Linked DNA regions of Yarrowia lipolytica. The protein of the gene in region 1 purifies or fractionates together with the protein of each later gene. This does not show direct contact. Links are inferred from orthologs where the notes say so. Each region holds a gene or a part of one and is shown on either strand. Other genes may lie near its edges.

The links. The genes of interacting proteins can lie anywhere in the genome.
Region 2: the proteins of YALI1_A03757g (region 1) and YALI1_B19388g purify together in Saccharomyces cerevisiae (affinity purification with mass spectrometry, with the first as the bait; 3 studies listed by BioGRID). This does not show direct contact. The link is inferred for Yarrowia lipolytica from reciprocal best matches to the Saccharomyces cerevisiae genes NOP4 and KRE33.

What each region holds. Positions count from the first base shown.
Region 1 is NC_090770.1:370,347-377,787, forward strand, and holds YALI1_A03757g (uncharacterized protein), read right to left. Parts: upstream 5,365-7,441; coding exon 3,259-5,364; downstream 1-3,258. Other genes in the region: YALI1_A03721g (uncharacterized protein), read right to left, coding at 1-1,771; YALI1_A03763g (uncharacterized protein), read left to right, coding at 5,991-7,259. UniProt on the Saccharomyces cerevisiae protein: Required for 60S ribosomal subunit synthesis. Probably involved in the processing of 27S rRNA to produce mature 25S rRNA.
Region 2 is NC_090771.1:1,934,093-1,942,173, forward strand, and holds YALI1_B19388g (uncharacterized protein), read right to left. Parts: upstream 4,748-8,081; coding exon 1,676-4,747; downstream 1-1,675. Other genes in the region: YALI1_B19348g (uncharacterized protein), read left to right, coding at 763-864, 925-1,587; YALI1_B19390g (uncharacterized protein), read left to right, coding at 4,945-5,164, 5,977-7,340. UniProt on the Saccharomyces cerevisiae protein: RNA cytidine acetyltransferase with specificity toward both 18S rRNA and tRNAs. Catalyzes the formation of N(4)-acetylcytidine (ac4C) at positions 1280 and 1773 in 18S rRNA.

The DNA of each region.
Region 1 (7,441 bases):
CCGAATACAGCTCAGCGTACTTGATCTTGTCCACGCAAAACTCCTGCAGCAGCTTGGATATCTGCAACTGCGTCTTCTGGAACAGGCCAATCTCCTCCGTAATGCACTCCCTGATCAGCCACGTTCGGTTCTTGTGGGCCGCAATCATCTCGGTGTCCATCTTGATGGCGCGGTCCAGCTTCTCAATCTCCGACATGAGCGCCTTTCTCTGCCGGGCCAGAGTCACACGGCCCTGGTTCTGCTGGATCCGCTTCTCCAGCAGCGGGATGTTGTTGCCTCCGTACTTTTCCAACCGGTCAAACAGTTCCCGCATCGAGCCCAGCGCCTCCCGGTACTTTTTGGCCTCTTCAAGCACTCCCACCTGCGAACCTCGTGCCTCGTCCTGCTGAAGCTGGCAGTCGGTTTCAATGCGTGCCGAAGCCCGACTGAGACCCCGAGTGATCTGCTGGACGCACCCGTCATCGGCGACAGAGTAGAGCACGCGGGCGGAGGGAGGAAGAGCTGCGCCAAGGTTGTATGCGATTTTGGCGCTGTCAACAGCCTGGGCCTCTTGTCGTTTAGCCACTCGGTCCAGAAGAACACACAGCTGAACCACGGAGTCGTGCGATCTGTCCAGCTCAACAATGAGACCGGCCCATAGAGCAGTCGCCTGCTGCTCATCCCACTGTTGCACAAACTTTGGATCAATCGTTCGTCCGTTGAACTCTTCTCGGGCGGTGTTGAACACACTCTTTTTCCAGCCGCTGATATCGTTTCGCAGGGTGACAAAAGTTCGCACTGCCTCATCCTGGCCCAGCACGGGGTGCCGAAGAACTTGGTTAATGAACCGAGTCAGACCTCGTCGTCGACGTTCCAAAAAGTAGTTGTCGGAGGACAGATAATGACCGTTGACAGCCAGTCGCTTGGGCGGCAAAAGTGGCACCTGTCGAAAACAGTACTTCTTCAGAAGATAGTCTTGCAGCCAGGAAAAGTCCGAGTACCGTCGGATGACCGTGATGCGGTCTGTTCCCGACACTGAAGAGATTGAGTAGTTGACGTGACGGAACAAAAACATGCCCTCGCGTTCGGGCACAATAGCCAGTGTCACTGAGTCGGCCTTGTTGGGTGCGAAATCGGGTCGTGGAGGGGCAGTCCATACTCCAGACTCGGACTCGGGAACCAGGGCCTGGGGGTTGAGAGGAGGTGGGGTTGTAGAGCGGGACAGCTGCGATTGCGACAGCTGTGACTGTTGTAGAGCCTCCTGTTCCTCCGGGTTCCAGTCCAGAGCACTGTGGCCCCTGCTGTGTCCGTTGTTGTGGATGATGCTCTCACTTCTGCTGCTCTGGATGCTATGGTCGTCGAGATCATCTCCAAACAGTGGCGTCTGTGATCTACCGGTTGTCGAGGCGCTAAAGTTGATGCTAGACCGCTCGCCCTCCTCGGAAAAGTCCATTGGCGTCAGAGTGTCCACGTTGACGAGCTGCGATGGGTCGTCGAACGGCAGGCCATCCTGCGCCACATTGGCCAGCAACAGGGCTGCTCGCCACGACTCGCGAGTGAAGGACGATGTGAGAATGCCTCCGCTGCCGTCGCCGCCCTCCAGAATCGATCCTGCCAGCGTCGCCAGCCGGTCCTTGTCTTCGCCCGAAACGTTGATGGTCTCCAAAAGCCGCTTGTAGCAAACTGCGGGAATCCGGCCGTCTATGGGATGGAACATGTCGAAAATGTGGTCGTAGCGCGAGCCATAGCCCGTTCGCTCCACGGCTGTAGTGGCCGCCGAAAACAGAGACATGGTGGTTGTTGTGGCGGTGGTGGTGGTGTTATTGTGGCGGCTTGAACCTGGGTCCTGTTTACCACTTCTCTTAGCGTCACCGAGTGCACCCCTAATCAACTCTATTCGATAGAGTTCGTTATCCTCATCCGTCCCAACATGTAATTTTGACCTGTCGATAGAACTAAAACAGAATAAAAAAAGAACAAAAAAGAATTCGACCCACCGGGGGGGGGGGGGGGGGGGGGGGGGGGAAACGCTCTAGACGAGATCTAAGCGATAATAATATCGAGGCCACGAATAGCCTGATTGGATATACACTGGGTGCTGTTTTGTAACTGGCCCTTTGGATCCCTCCAGAGTATTGGTTCTGCGCACTGTGACTACAATCAGCACTCTCTATAATACACATCGTCGTTGCTGACTGCTGAAGTAGTAATTGCGTACACTGTCGACTTCACTCGCCTGATTTTGACATCTGGATCAAACAAGTGAATTCCACTGCTCTGGAAGACTCTATCTGATACCACTATATACATCCCTTTGCTCCAGCAGCCCTACACTCCTTATCATTGCCACTGTCATTTTATAGCATTTAATCTCCGCTAAAGTCACCCTTACAAAGGAGCTATGACAGCGGGGTCGAAAAATGTAGAGTATCTGGCATCTGGGTGATGATCACTGTCGGTAATCGATGGAATGGCTTTACGACGTGAATAGTCCGCTCTTTCTGGCCATCTTTGCCCAGAGACACGTTGATTGTAAAAACTATTTTTACCTGAGAAATATAAGTAACTTTGTTGAATTTAATTGATGGATCTAAGCTGTTATTCTAATTTCTAACTATATTACTCACGACAACTCATACCCCGAAACTCGGCCCATCGATCGCGCCGTGAGAATGACTTTACACTAGTGAATGGATCGCGAATGAGCAATTTCGCTTCAGTCCTTGAGTCTAGAGCTTCTTGGCCATTTTTTTTATTCTAGGGAAATACATTTCAGCTACTTGAAGCCTATATGCTATACCCGCACATAGGACCCGGGTTAGGGTGTTCAGAAAAGCACATAACCATCGTGTTCTCGCATTTTTGCGTTCTCCTCCTTTTCCCCCGCTGACTAAACACCTTTTCGATACCCTTGACCAAAGTTTCGCACTTTTTCACCGCCTGGCTAGCTCAATCGGTAGAGCGTGAGACTCTTAGTCCATTGTATTTCAGATTTGAGAATATCTCAAGGCTGTGGGTTCAAGCCCCACGTCGGGCTTTTCTTTTTGCCCCTTGGAGCGAGACATACTACTGTATGTACTGTACTACAGTATATACTGTGCATAATGTACTTTTGTTGCATCTCTAGTTCTCTGTCACCCTACTCGTTCATAGACTTTAGGCATTCATTTTCTATATTATCATACTAATGCAGAAGCAGCGAGCCCATACTCCACTGCTCTACGGTGTTAATTAGTCTATCAACAACACTGTTTGTTTCCTTCAAACTTGAAGGAACGCTTACTTTCCTCCCTTCTTCTTTCGCATTCGCTTCTGTCCAATGAGCTTTCCGAGCTCCAGGTTCTTGTCCTTTTCAGGCTGTCGAGACTCATCCTTCTTGTCTCCCCCCTTGCCCTTTCGGTCACCCTTTCGGTCTTTTCGATCTCCTCGGTCTCTTCGGTCTCCTCGGTCTCTTCGGTCTCCCTCTCGTCGGGGTCGCTTGTGTTCGGAAGAACCCTCGTCCGCTCCTCCCTCGTCGTCCCGATGTCGCTTCTTCTGCATGTTGATTCGAGCCATAGTCTCCTTTCGTCGCTTGACAACCTGTGCGTTCTCAATTGCAAACTCAGCCACCAGGTGACGTCGCGAAGAACCAGTAAGATCAACGTGTTTTCGCTCGTTCTCCTCGTAGCCCTCAAGAACCTCCTCAGTAGACACCTCGTGAGCGTTCAGCCATCGCAGCGCCATGAGAGCAGCCTTGTGGTCTCGGAACTCCAGGAAACCATATCCTCGAGATCGGCCCAGCTCTCCGCTCTCCTTCTGCTCCATAATCACCTTTGCCTGTCGGACCACTCCATGCTTGGACTTGGCAGCCTCTTCGGTTCGAGCCTTGGTCGACCGAATAGCCTCCTCCTTGGACAGAGGCTGTCGAGCACCCTCCTTGGCTTCAGTGGCAAATTGCACCACGGCCTTTCGACCCAGAGCCTTAAGACCCTTCGCGTTGAGAGCTCGGGGCAGGTTTCGCAGAGCCAGACGAGTCAGGGACACGTGCAGACTGGGGTTGCCGTTCAGCTGTTTCTTTCGCTGGTCGTATGACTTTTGTCGCAGCTCCATGTCGGCCTTGGGCAGAGTCATACCCAGAGCAGTGTTCTCGCCGATTCGACCCTCGTTGATCAGGAAGACGTTTCGTCGATCTTTCTCCTTGGGCAGCTTACCCAGAGCCTCGGCTCGCTTTTTCGAATTGTGTTCAGACAGCTTGTTGGCGGTTTCTCGCTGGACAGCCTGAGTGACGGCCAGAATTCGGCCCTCAAACACGTACCGAGGGTCGGTATCATCAGCAACAAGCAGAGAAGTGGTGGCTGCAGCAGGAGCTCGCTCAACACACTTGTCGCAGTCGTCGGATGATTCGAACGCAACAAAGGCAGTTCCTCGGGGCTGGCCCGTGGTCTTGTCAATGACAGGAAGAGCGTATCGAACAGCACCAAAGTTCTCAAAGTGCTCCTTGAGGGACTCTGCTGTGGCATCGTAAGGAATGTTTCGCACAAAAACGGTCGAGGAGTTGGATTGGGCCTTGACCTTGGGAGTATCATCCTCCTCCTCTTCCTCCTCCTCATCCACCTCAATCTCGTCTTCGTCATCATCGTCACCCTCGGCAACATCGGCATTGGACTCATCCAGATCGAGATCTTCCTCCTTGACCTCATCCTTGACCTCAGTATCCACGTCCTCGTCCTTGACCTCGTCCTTGACCTCGTCCTCGTCGTCGTCATACTCCTCGTCCTCGACCTCTTCTCCGTCCTTATGTTTCAGCCACTTGTCCTTCTGAATGGCAAAGTCAACGGTAACAGTTCGCCCGTCAATCTCAAGACCCTTGCTTTCGGCCACAGCCTTGTCAGCATGCTGCTTTTTGCTCATGGTCACAAATCCAAACCCACTCATCTTGCCTCCAGCTCCTCGGGGAATAAACGCATCGACCACCTTGCCGTACTTGGAAAACACCTTGATCAGATCCTGGGGCTCCCGCACCGACCACGGCAGGTTTCGCACAATTAGTCGCGGCTTTCGCTTCTCCACAGAAGTATTGTTGTCTCCACTGCTCTCAAACGGCCGGTCCTCTCTGGTCTTTCGCTCTCGAGGCTTGGCAAACTCGATCTGAAGAATCTTGCCCTTGAGCTTCTGCTTTCGGCACTTGAGCAGCGCCTCCGCAGCATCCTCCTCGGTCGTGAAAGACACAAACCCGAACCCCTTGGACTCCTTGGTCGCAGCATTGGTCACCACCACGGCATGCTTCACGGGGAAGTCCTGTGAGAAAAAGTCCGCCAGCTCCTCGTTCGTCACCTCCAGAGGGATGGACCGCACAAACAAATCCGTCTTGCCCTTGTCCACCTTGTCTTTTGTGTCTCGAACCATTTTTTTGAAACGTAGTTGTGTGGTGTAAAGGGTGTAAATGGAAATCGAAATCGGTCCAGGAAAATTTCCATATCATGCATATTTTTTTTTGCCTTCCAAACCTTAAAAAGACTGATGCCCCGGTTTGGAAGTGATATTGGTAAACGAGTAAACATCTAATATGGGAGAAAATTGCAAGTAATTTTATTAAAAAATCAACAGTTCTTATCCTGAAGCTCGTTTCACTACTCTTGGACACTTTTCTTGCGTGTATGTTTGCTTGATTAGTCAGCCACACCGAAATCGTGCGTTTTGGAGTGTGGAAACAAGACATAGTGATCATAGAACAGAGCTGAGAGAACCATTATGTAGATTTCGTCTGGGAGATTCTTACGCTATCTTTTTCCCCTAATTGACTTCCAATTCAGGACAGTATATAACGGAAAACGATGTAGTGTATAGAAGGCAAGATATCACGCCCTAAAAACCGCTACAAACATATATATCACCTTTGTGAAGAGAATCACACACTACAACCAACGAGATATCCGTCTCTAGCTTACCGTATTTTCAAACTCAGCTCTCTAGGGGATGTTTTCCCGGATCCCGAAATCACGTGATCTCCAATGTTGACATAGTCTTCCAGCATGCAGGTCGCGATGCGATGGAGACGCGAACACAACACAAGATACACCATGAAGTTCAATGGCACGTTAAGGGACCAGATGGTCCTGAAGCAGACCACGAATTTGCGACGAAACGCGCTCAACAAGTGTTCTCACAACACGCTGTACAACCTGACTCAGCTGTGGCTGGGGTCTAAAGACTGTCTGCCGCTGGTGGCCATCAACTCTCAGGACGACTATTTATTCGACTTGGACGCGCTCTCAGACGACGAGGACGACGCTGAGGCCGATGAGGGGATTGATGAAGTGGAGGAAGGCGTTATTGTGGCTCGAGGTGGTCCCAAGTACGAAAAGATCATGGACGATGCTCGTAAAGAACTGACTGAAGGAGTGCAGTCTCGAAAGGCATACATGCAGCTCGTGGGACAAAAGTACTGGAATGCCGGTCTCAATCTACTGCAACTGGCCCAACTGGACATTTGGGGAGACGTTTTTGAACGTCCAGAAATGCTGGTTTGGAGCTACAGTACAGTGAAAGATTCTGTCGGTAAAGAGAAGGTACCTGATTTGAGCATTGGCACCATTGCCACGCGAATGAGTGAGGCAATCTATCCTGCCTTTAGATGCCACGTGCACGCCATGCGTCATCCTGAGCTGCCTGTCATTGTGGTTCGTGTCAAACCATATGACGCTGCCAATGACGATGCTCGTTTGAAGCCCCTGTACCTGGTGTTTCCCTACCATTCGCCTCACGTGATTCATCTGAGCATGGATCACGTCTACGCCCAAACAGTTTTGCATGCTGTCACTCAGAGTGTCACTACTGTGGCTGACCCTATCTCCTTGGTCCGTTCCAGCGCTCTCCCCACTCGTTCTTTCAATACCCTGGTGACTACTCTTTCGGACAACCGAAAAGCCGCATCCATGGGCTCCTGGTCCGTCTTTGCTACCGGAGAAGTCGACCAGTCGCCTCTGGCCATGGTCAAAAAGCCGCCTGCCAAAGTGGCCAACTCCAAGGCCAACAGAATTGCGGCGAAATTCACCTCAAAAAAGATCACCGAGCCTCTGCAGTACAGATCGGAGAATCCTCAAAGCATGGTGGAGTTTAGAATTACCCGGAACTCGCGGAAAGTGACGCTACGGATGGAGGGTACGGATGTGTACGCTGGTGTGTACAGAATGGCCATGAGGGGGGACATTAATGATAGAAAGATGCCTGCTTGGATGACTGGAGAGGAGAGCAGTACTAGTGGAGCGGTGAATGATGGGGCTTACAAGGCCGATAAGTAGAAGCAATCATCATGAGCAACGCGAATGATGCCTTCTTCTGTTTACGGCACTGATCATGAACATTGCCATCCACTGATACACAACGAGTAATGCGAATGACATCTTAGCACTGTTATTACGGCCACCTACTGTACCACAAATCTCTCTTACCGCTCCATCATCTCAGTCTATAGCCAGACGTC
Region 2 (8,081 bases), on another chromosome or scaffold:
AGTGCAAGTGCAAGGTGAGGTAGCGGGCAGGTGAATCCGCGGGGTTCTGGGACAGTGTGGCAATGAAGTGGAACAATATGACGTAGTTTGGTTATTTTCGGCACTCACTGTTCCCCACGAGTACGACTTATCCTTCTTCTGCTGGTACTGTACTCGTACACACCAGTGCATGTTCGTCTACTTGTAGTTGTACTTGTAGCGTCGCACAAAATGTCTTGCTTGTACATACTGTGTTGTGCTTCTACGAGTACGACAATAGTCATTGACATCTCTTGTTGAAGGTGAGTACAGCATGTACAAGTAAGTCGCTACAATACTCGTACTAATGTCATTAGCAACTATTTAGTTAGTTGCCTTGAGAACCAGCCATCAAAGCATTAAAACTGGCTAATCAAATTAGGGGGCATAACTCCACGGCTGTTTTAGTCTGTCGTTTGTCTCAGTCAGTGTTGGTTCAACCAAGTACATACCGTACAAGATCATCTTGCTGTGTAACTATAGTATTACTGTACGTGCCCCAAGAAATATCATGGGTAAACATATACCTCTCCGACTGCACGCAAAGCCATGTAAACCTGGAACCTTTTTGATGGAACAAAAATTATTCCAGATTGCACTATCAGTTGAGCAGTTAGTTTCCCCTCATATCAGTTTGTTTCTCATTGCCAAAAGACCCCCCTTCGTCTCACATTGTTAAGCTGCATGTAAGCAGTAAGGCTTATCGCAGCTAGGTGCAGTAATCATCTTCGACACCATCACACCATGATCCGACGAAAAATAGCTGAGAAAAAACTGGCCAAGGAGGAGGATAAGCGCGAGGTCACTTTGGTGGCACTCAGTGGCCCCTCGTCCAGTGGAAAGAGTGTGAGTATGAATCGTTTGCACGAGGTGCAGTCCCCGTTACAGAACTGGCACTAACTTCAGACTCTAGCTCGTCTGCTTCGAGACATTCTTCCCCACGTCATCATCATCCACCAAGACGACTTTTACCTGGAGGACTCGCAGATCCCAGTTATTGATGGAGTTCAAGATTGGGATTGTCCCGAGGCTTTTGATTTCAAGCTACTGTCCAAGGTTTTGAGCCATGTCAAGCAGACTGGAGAGCTGCCCAAAAATTTCAAATCGAAGGAGGACCAGAACTCCCTGGGACCCGCTGCTCTTGATGAAAACGCTGTCGACGCCTTTAAGCGTCGAATGCACCCTTACATGCCTGAGTTTGAGAACAAGCTGATTGTCATTCTGGATGGTATCATGGTCTACCATGACGCTCAATTCACCGAGTTGTTCGATATCAAGATTCTGGTCAGATCCAGTTACGAAAACCTCAAGTCTCGACGAGAAGCTCGATCCGGATACGTCACTCTGGAAGGGTTTTGGAAGGATCCTGAGGGATACTTCCACAACATTGTTTGGCCCGGTTACCTAAAGACCCACAAACAGCTGTTTGAAAACGAAAATCCCAACGGAGAACCCAGTAAGGACGCCACCAGAGAAGGAATCCGAATCGTGCCCACCACCGATTTCGACGTGGCCGAGACTCTTGATTGGGTGTTTGATGTCATTCTGGACTATTACGATCTTGAGTAAAGACCATGCACATATTTATAATCGTGACTCTACTTAATTAATTGTACATACATTGTAATAAATCTATCAGTTTTTATATGTCATTAGTTTATTTCTTGCCCTTCTTGCTCTTCTTGGCAGACTTGAGAGCGTTCATCTCCTCTTTGTAGATGCTATCGACACTCTCGGCCTTTCGCTTCTTCTCTTTGCTGCTGTTGCGCACAGCAAGAGTTGTGCCAGCCTTGCCGGTAGCAGCCTTGGAAGCCCCCTTCTTGGCTCCCTCCCAGTCATCGTCGTTGATCTTGAACTCGTTGAGATCCAAGGCATTGATGAGTTCTCGCTGCTTCTCTCTAAGAGCCGCGGTCACCTCATCTCCAGCCTCCTCAAGCTCGTCAGTAACATCCTCCTGGACCTCGCCAAACATATCCTCCTCGCCATCCAGCTCTCGGACATCTTCATGAAGCTGCTTGGGCATCTGCTCGTCGATGGCAGAAGAGAGCACCTCTCGGAAGTAATTGGACACCTTTCGGATGATTTTGGAGAACATCGCCATGTTTTGAGAAACAGACAGGTTGAGCTCAGCAGACATCTTGTCCATGTCCTTTCGTTGAAGACCAATACCAAGCAGAACAGCAGACTGAACAATAGACAGCTTGATGTTGGCAGGGAACTGGTCTCGGAAGTACATTGTAGCAATTGCAGGAAGCATATCGACAATGACGTGGTAATCCAACAGGTTGTTGGCATAGGACTCGAGTCGCTTCAGATCAAAGGGAGTGAAGAGTCGGTCAAGCTCGGCCTTGGTGACAGGAACTCTCTCCTTCTTGTTCATCGACTTGGCAGACTCCACAAGTGATAGAGCATGAGAAGCGGTGAACGAGCTGAACTCAAAAGAAAGAAGAGTGAGGAACCGCTTGTGAAAGTCACTGGAGAACTCGGCGAGCCAGGAGTCGTCCTGACCCTTGAGACCTCGAAGCATGACACAAGTGTGCTCACCAGTGAGCTCGTTGGCTGTCTGTCGCAGGTATACAGGTACGTAGCCGTTTCGCTTCCAGAACTTGTGCAGCTGGTTGGTAAGACCGTAAGAAACACCCATGTAGTTGAGTCGATGGGGAGGAATCTCGGACAGCTTGTTCAGCAGAGGAGGCATGGAGGCAGCGTCTCGAACCGTGATCTTATCGGTCAGCTTGCCCTTGGCAAGTTCTGCGTCGGTAACTCGGACAATAGACTGGTTCTCGAGAGACGTTCGCTCGGAGATATCTGTGAACTTTCCCTCAAAGTAATCCTGAAGCAAGTCCAGAGCTCGGCCACCGTAGCCCATACCCATGTACTCGGGGTTGGTGGCAATTCTGACGATTCGAGCGCCAGAGAGAGATGCAAATTCGTCGTCCTGGTACTGCTGGGACATGAGCCAGGGGATCAGGTCACCGCTAGATCGCTGGCCTCTAGACAAGGCGTTTCGAACACTGTCCTTTGAAATCTCACCTTCAAGCGCAACCTGGACAACAACCAGAGGCTCGGGAAGCTGGTTACCCTCCTGGGGGCCCAGAAGAACGTAGAGCTGATGAGCGGGAGCATCGGACAGCAGCTGCAGATCGTTGGGAGTGTTCTTGTAATGAGATGCCACGTAGAGAGCCATCATTCGATGCAAAAATGCCTCAGAGACCGCATGGTAGGAGAAGAGAGTGTCTCTGTTGACGGCAAAAAGCTGACACTTGTCAGGGTGAGGAGTGGCAGCATTCTTGGCCTTGGGAGCAATAGTGGCGTCGAGGCACAGCAGCTTGTTGAGCCACTTCTCGACGGGGTCACCAGGAGCGTATCGGATGGGCTCATCCAGCACAACTTCATGCAGAGTTCGGCCCATCTGAGTCTTTCCAGAGCTCTCTCGCAGCTGCTGGATCAGCTTAAGAGATAGAGATCGACCAGTACCTTCGTAACCATTGATGGTAGAAGCCATGAAGACAAGGTAGGGACCAAGCAGTTTCTTCACAACGGGGAGCGGAATTGCGGCAGCCTCATCGATTACGACCAGCTCCGCCTGACCCAGAACATGCGAGTCGCCAGGGACAATGTACTGAATTGTCTGTCGATGGGACTTGAAGATGTTGACTCGGACAATGGCCTTGTTAAAAGCAGGGTTGGTGGACTGCTGGATGTCGTAGTCAACATGCTCCTCATATCCTAGGGCATCGAATCCCTTGAAGATGAACTCGAAGAGGGTCTTCAAGTTTTCGGGGGAAGGAGAGGTGATGAAGATGTTGGAGTAGCCCTGGCCAACAGCGGCAGCAATTGCCACACCAAGAGCAGCCGACTTACCTCGACCTCGGCCAGCGGTAAGAGCAACTGTGCTCTTGAGGTTCTTCTCAACAATCGTATCGATGAAAGTCAGGATAGCCTTACCCTGGTCCACAGTCTTTGCAATCTTAACCAGGTCACCGGTGGGCTTGATGTCAGCAAGAGAATCCTTAAGGTCTCGAAGAGCCTGGACGTTCTCAGGAACATCCTCGTCCTCGTCAAGAGGAGGCAGAGCTTTGACTGTCTTGGCTCCCGAGATGGGGAGAACGTTGAGCTCGTCATCAACAACGAGACACGTTCGACAGTCATTAAGAGACAGCAAGAATCGCTCGTTGAAACGGGCAACAACATCATTGTGGGCCTCAGTTCGGTATCGGGAGTGGATATCCATGGTCATAGTATACAGTTGCTTTACGGAGGCCATGCTCTTAAGCATCATAACCACAATACCTCCACCCTCGACAGTCTCAATAGTCCGGGCCAGCAGATTAGGGGTCAGAGCCTCAAAGTCTTGCAGGATACACATGCCGTAGGTGTTACCGAGAATCTTCTCAGTGTCCTTGTAGAAGCAGTATCGAATGTTCTGCAGAGAGACAAACAGCTCAAAGGGATCCTCTTGGTTGACCTCTCGGATGCCCTGCTTGATCTCCTTCTTGATCTTGGTCTCTCGCTTCTTTCTGTGCGAGGTGAATCCCAGCAACTTGTGTTTGTAGGCCCACAGAACAGACTTGTTCATTCGAATGTCTGCGGACGACATGAGGTAGTGCAGGTTGGGGAGTTGGTTTTTCGCATTATCTCCAACAATGATGAAGAAAGAACGCTGCTTTTCCTGGACTCCGTTTCGGATCAGAGCCGGAATTCGGGGGTCGATTTGCTTCTTTCCCATTGTGAGTGTGTGTATTCACTTGGATTCCTGCAGGCGAATTTCTCTATCTAAATTTTGTCTAAAATCCAGAATTTTTTTAGGCCTTGCATGATCCTGCATGATCCGGTAGGGTAAGGCACCTTGTTGTAAGTTCAACATGGCACACGAACCAAAAGTTGATCACCACCAAAGAAAAAAACATCCCTACACAACAGATAATGTCCTCCACAGATAAGGTCCGATACGACCCGTCGTCTTTCCTGGGCGAGATTTCGGGCAAGAAGGTCAACGTTCGGGTCTCCACCGGCACCACTTTCTCTGGCGTCCTCCAGTCTGTTGATGGATACATGAGCATTGTTCTGGAGAACGCTGAGGAGCTGGTTGATGACAAGGTCGTCGGTATCTATGATGATGACGTTTTTATTCGAGGAAACAATGGTGAGTATAAAAGTGGCATTTGGAATAATGTAAAGGTTGGGCCAGAAGAAGTGGGGATCACGACAGCAGCTCTATAAGCACGATCGCCTTCAGATTAATGCGTGGGCTTCAATGCCGTTGATCATATGAATGTGAATCGATTTTTAATATGATTCCCACGGCTTAGTTGAGGCGAATAGACGACCAACTGGCCTTGTGGGCTTCTCGAGTTATCCCATCTATTACAGATTCAACAAAGATGATATATAACACCACTAACACAGTCCTCTATGTCGCTGCTGCTGACAAATAACTTATTGAGTCTTCTGTAAATATACACGGTTGGTAATGAAGGAATGTCTATTCTATGAGGTGTAGGGTTGTAAGAAAACTACAAGGTCCGCGCTGAAACATGATCAGTCTGGTGCAGCTTGTTTACAACTAATTAGCATCAGTAGACCAATCACTGGTATGTCTTGACCTTCTGCGACTACTGATATTCAGTGGTACTTAGTTATTGTGGGCCCATTTGATTGTACTTGGAACCCACCCTGTACTGTATGTACAGTATGTACAGTGATACCCTAACAGGTGACTCCAATTAACCTATGCATATTTATAACCAACACCTTCCTTCTGTGTCACGGCCCACCCTACTGCAACTAGTTGGCCACAAACACAACGCCCCCGACACAACACGAGCCCCCGCAACCCCCAATTAATATTGATACCCCCACTTTGATTGATCTCGATACCCAGACGCAATATCATGATACCAGCGAGTTAGTTGTAACCTCTTCATACCCCTCATCTCCCACTTCCTACTAACACAGAACGACGATTGGACTCATCGCCTGAGACGTCTCCCACTCGTGTCAACAAGCGAGACTCGGGACTTGCCCTTTCACCATTGTCGTCGCCCCCAGCAGCCACCCCGAAGCTTGCACCCCGATCCAAGTCGCTCTACAAGACAGGTCCTCCCTTCGTGAGTGCTCAGCAGGCAGTGGCACTTTGTTCCGCAGATGGTACACCAGCCACCATCAGACTTCATGCGCGGCTGGATCGCGGCTTCGAAGAGGAGAACGGCAGCTGGATCTGCTACAGACGTAACTATATGTCACTGTGTGCTGCGTTCGACATTGTGGAGCATTCCATCGTTCCAATGACCCCGCCGTACCCTACAGGCCCAGTGTACATCGCTAGTGGTCCTCACGAGAACGCCCAATGTCTCTATTTTGTGCTGCGAGTGGAGGCCCGTGTGTGCTCCACCAACGCTCCCGCCACCCTCATGCAACACACCGCCAAACGAGATCCAGGATCTCAAGCGGCCCCCAGCGACACCATCTTGTTTCCTGGGAAGCTCCCCCCTCATGAGTTCATCCGAGACACTGCCAACGTCCGGTGTCCCAAGAGGCTTGAGGAGATTTTCGACCAGGTTAATCTGACACTAACAGAGCAGGCTAACCTGTCCAAGACACAAGTTCAGTTTCTGGAAACCTACCCGGACGCAAATAAAGCGGCAATTTCCCGGGTCGCACGGTTCGAGCGCCTCCAGTTCCAGTTCATTCACAGAAGTCGCCGGGAAGGGTGCAAGTACCGTCTGCGGGTGAACCTGATGGCAATGATCTCACATAACAATGTTCACGATCTGATTGAGATCGCTTCTAGCCACACACCAGAAATTGTGGTACGAGGCAGGTCTCCTGCAAGCTACACTGAGTCGGGCTCCTGCCAGAAACCCAGTCGAAACAGCTCAAAAAGTTCCAAAAGCTGTTCTTATACTTCTCCTGGCTTGCCCGGATCCCCTACTACTTTGGACTTCTTTGGTCTGGGAACTCAGCTGTCAGAGTTTGATGTAACTGATAATCTTGGCGGTGGAGAGGACCAAGCGTTTGGAGAGTTCAATTGTGAGTCGCCCTCTCCCACTGGTAGCTCACGTGAAAATCGTCTTTATTTGTTGCCTGACTTGTCTCAGAGCCTTTCCGAATCTGAATCTGAATCTGACTTCACTTCAGACGAAGATGTGCAGGTTACCCAGCTGCTTCTCAAGCTCCCTCCACCCCAGCTATCGACCAATGGTGAAAATGTCGAGGTTAAATCTGAGCCCGAAGAGCTCAAGGAGTTTGCGCCACAGTTGACCTTTGATACAACAGGCTTCGCTCTTGAAGCTGGGAGCGAACCGTCATTTGAAATCTAGCAATCTAGCCGTGAATATATATATATATATATATGTTGGTGGCCATGTATCGCGACTCATCAAAGTATAAGTAGCAAATTGCTACTACAAAAACTTACAGCACATTGCGCCACCTGGTTACTGATACTTGTACTTTTGTAATACGGTAAGTAGATTTTGTGATTTTCTTACAAAAGCTGTTAGCCTCTCTTTCATCTCTTACTTTCGGTGGGGAAGATAAAGTTGGTGATTCATGATGTCATTATCGTACTTAGAGTAGCTACAGTAAAGTGAAGTCAATAGTTGGGGAAGTTAGCTACCAACGTGTTGAGTGCATTCATTCCAGTCCGTGGAAACGGCACACACTGTATTCAGCAGTGTTACATAGCCGCGGACACTTTTTTTCCAGGCCTTAACTCTGATCATGTGTGATATTATACACCTCATGGCACGCTACTTGTAGAGCATATTGAATCTTGGTTTAGTGCAACCGTCTGATCGATCCACAGTTTGAGTGGAACACCATCCAACAGTGTAATTTTAACTTTGCAACACTGCACCCCTTAAGGTTTCGAGACCTTTGTTTACTTTTGCCAATTGCGTGTTTCTGAGCCTCTCTGAATTGGGATGGAGGTACTATGGATTCATGGGTTCATGGAGCATTGGGGGAGGTGAGTCAATGAGTTGATTGCACAAAACCCAAGCCCTTTACACCAGTTCTGGGCTGTGTTGTTTGTTAATTGGCAACCTATATTGCGTTTT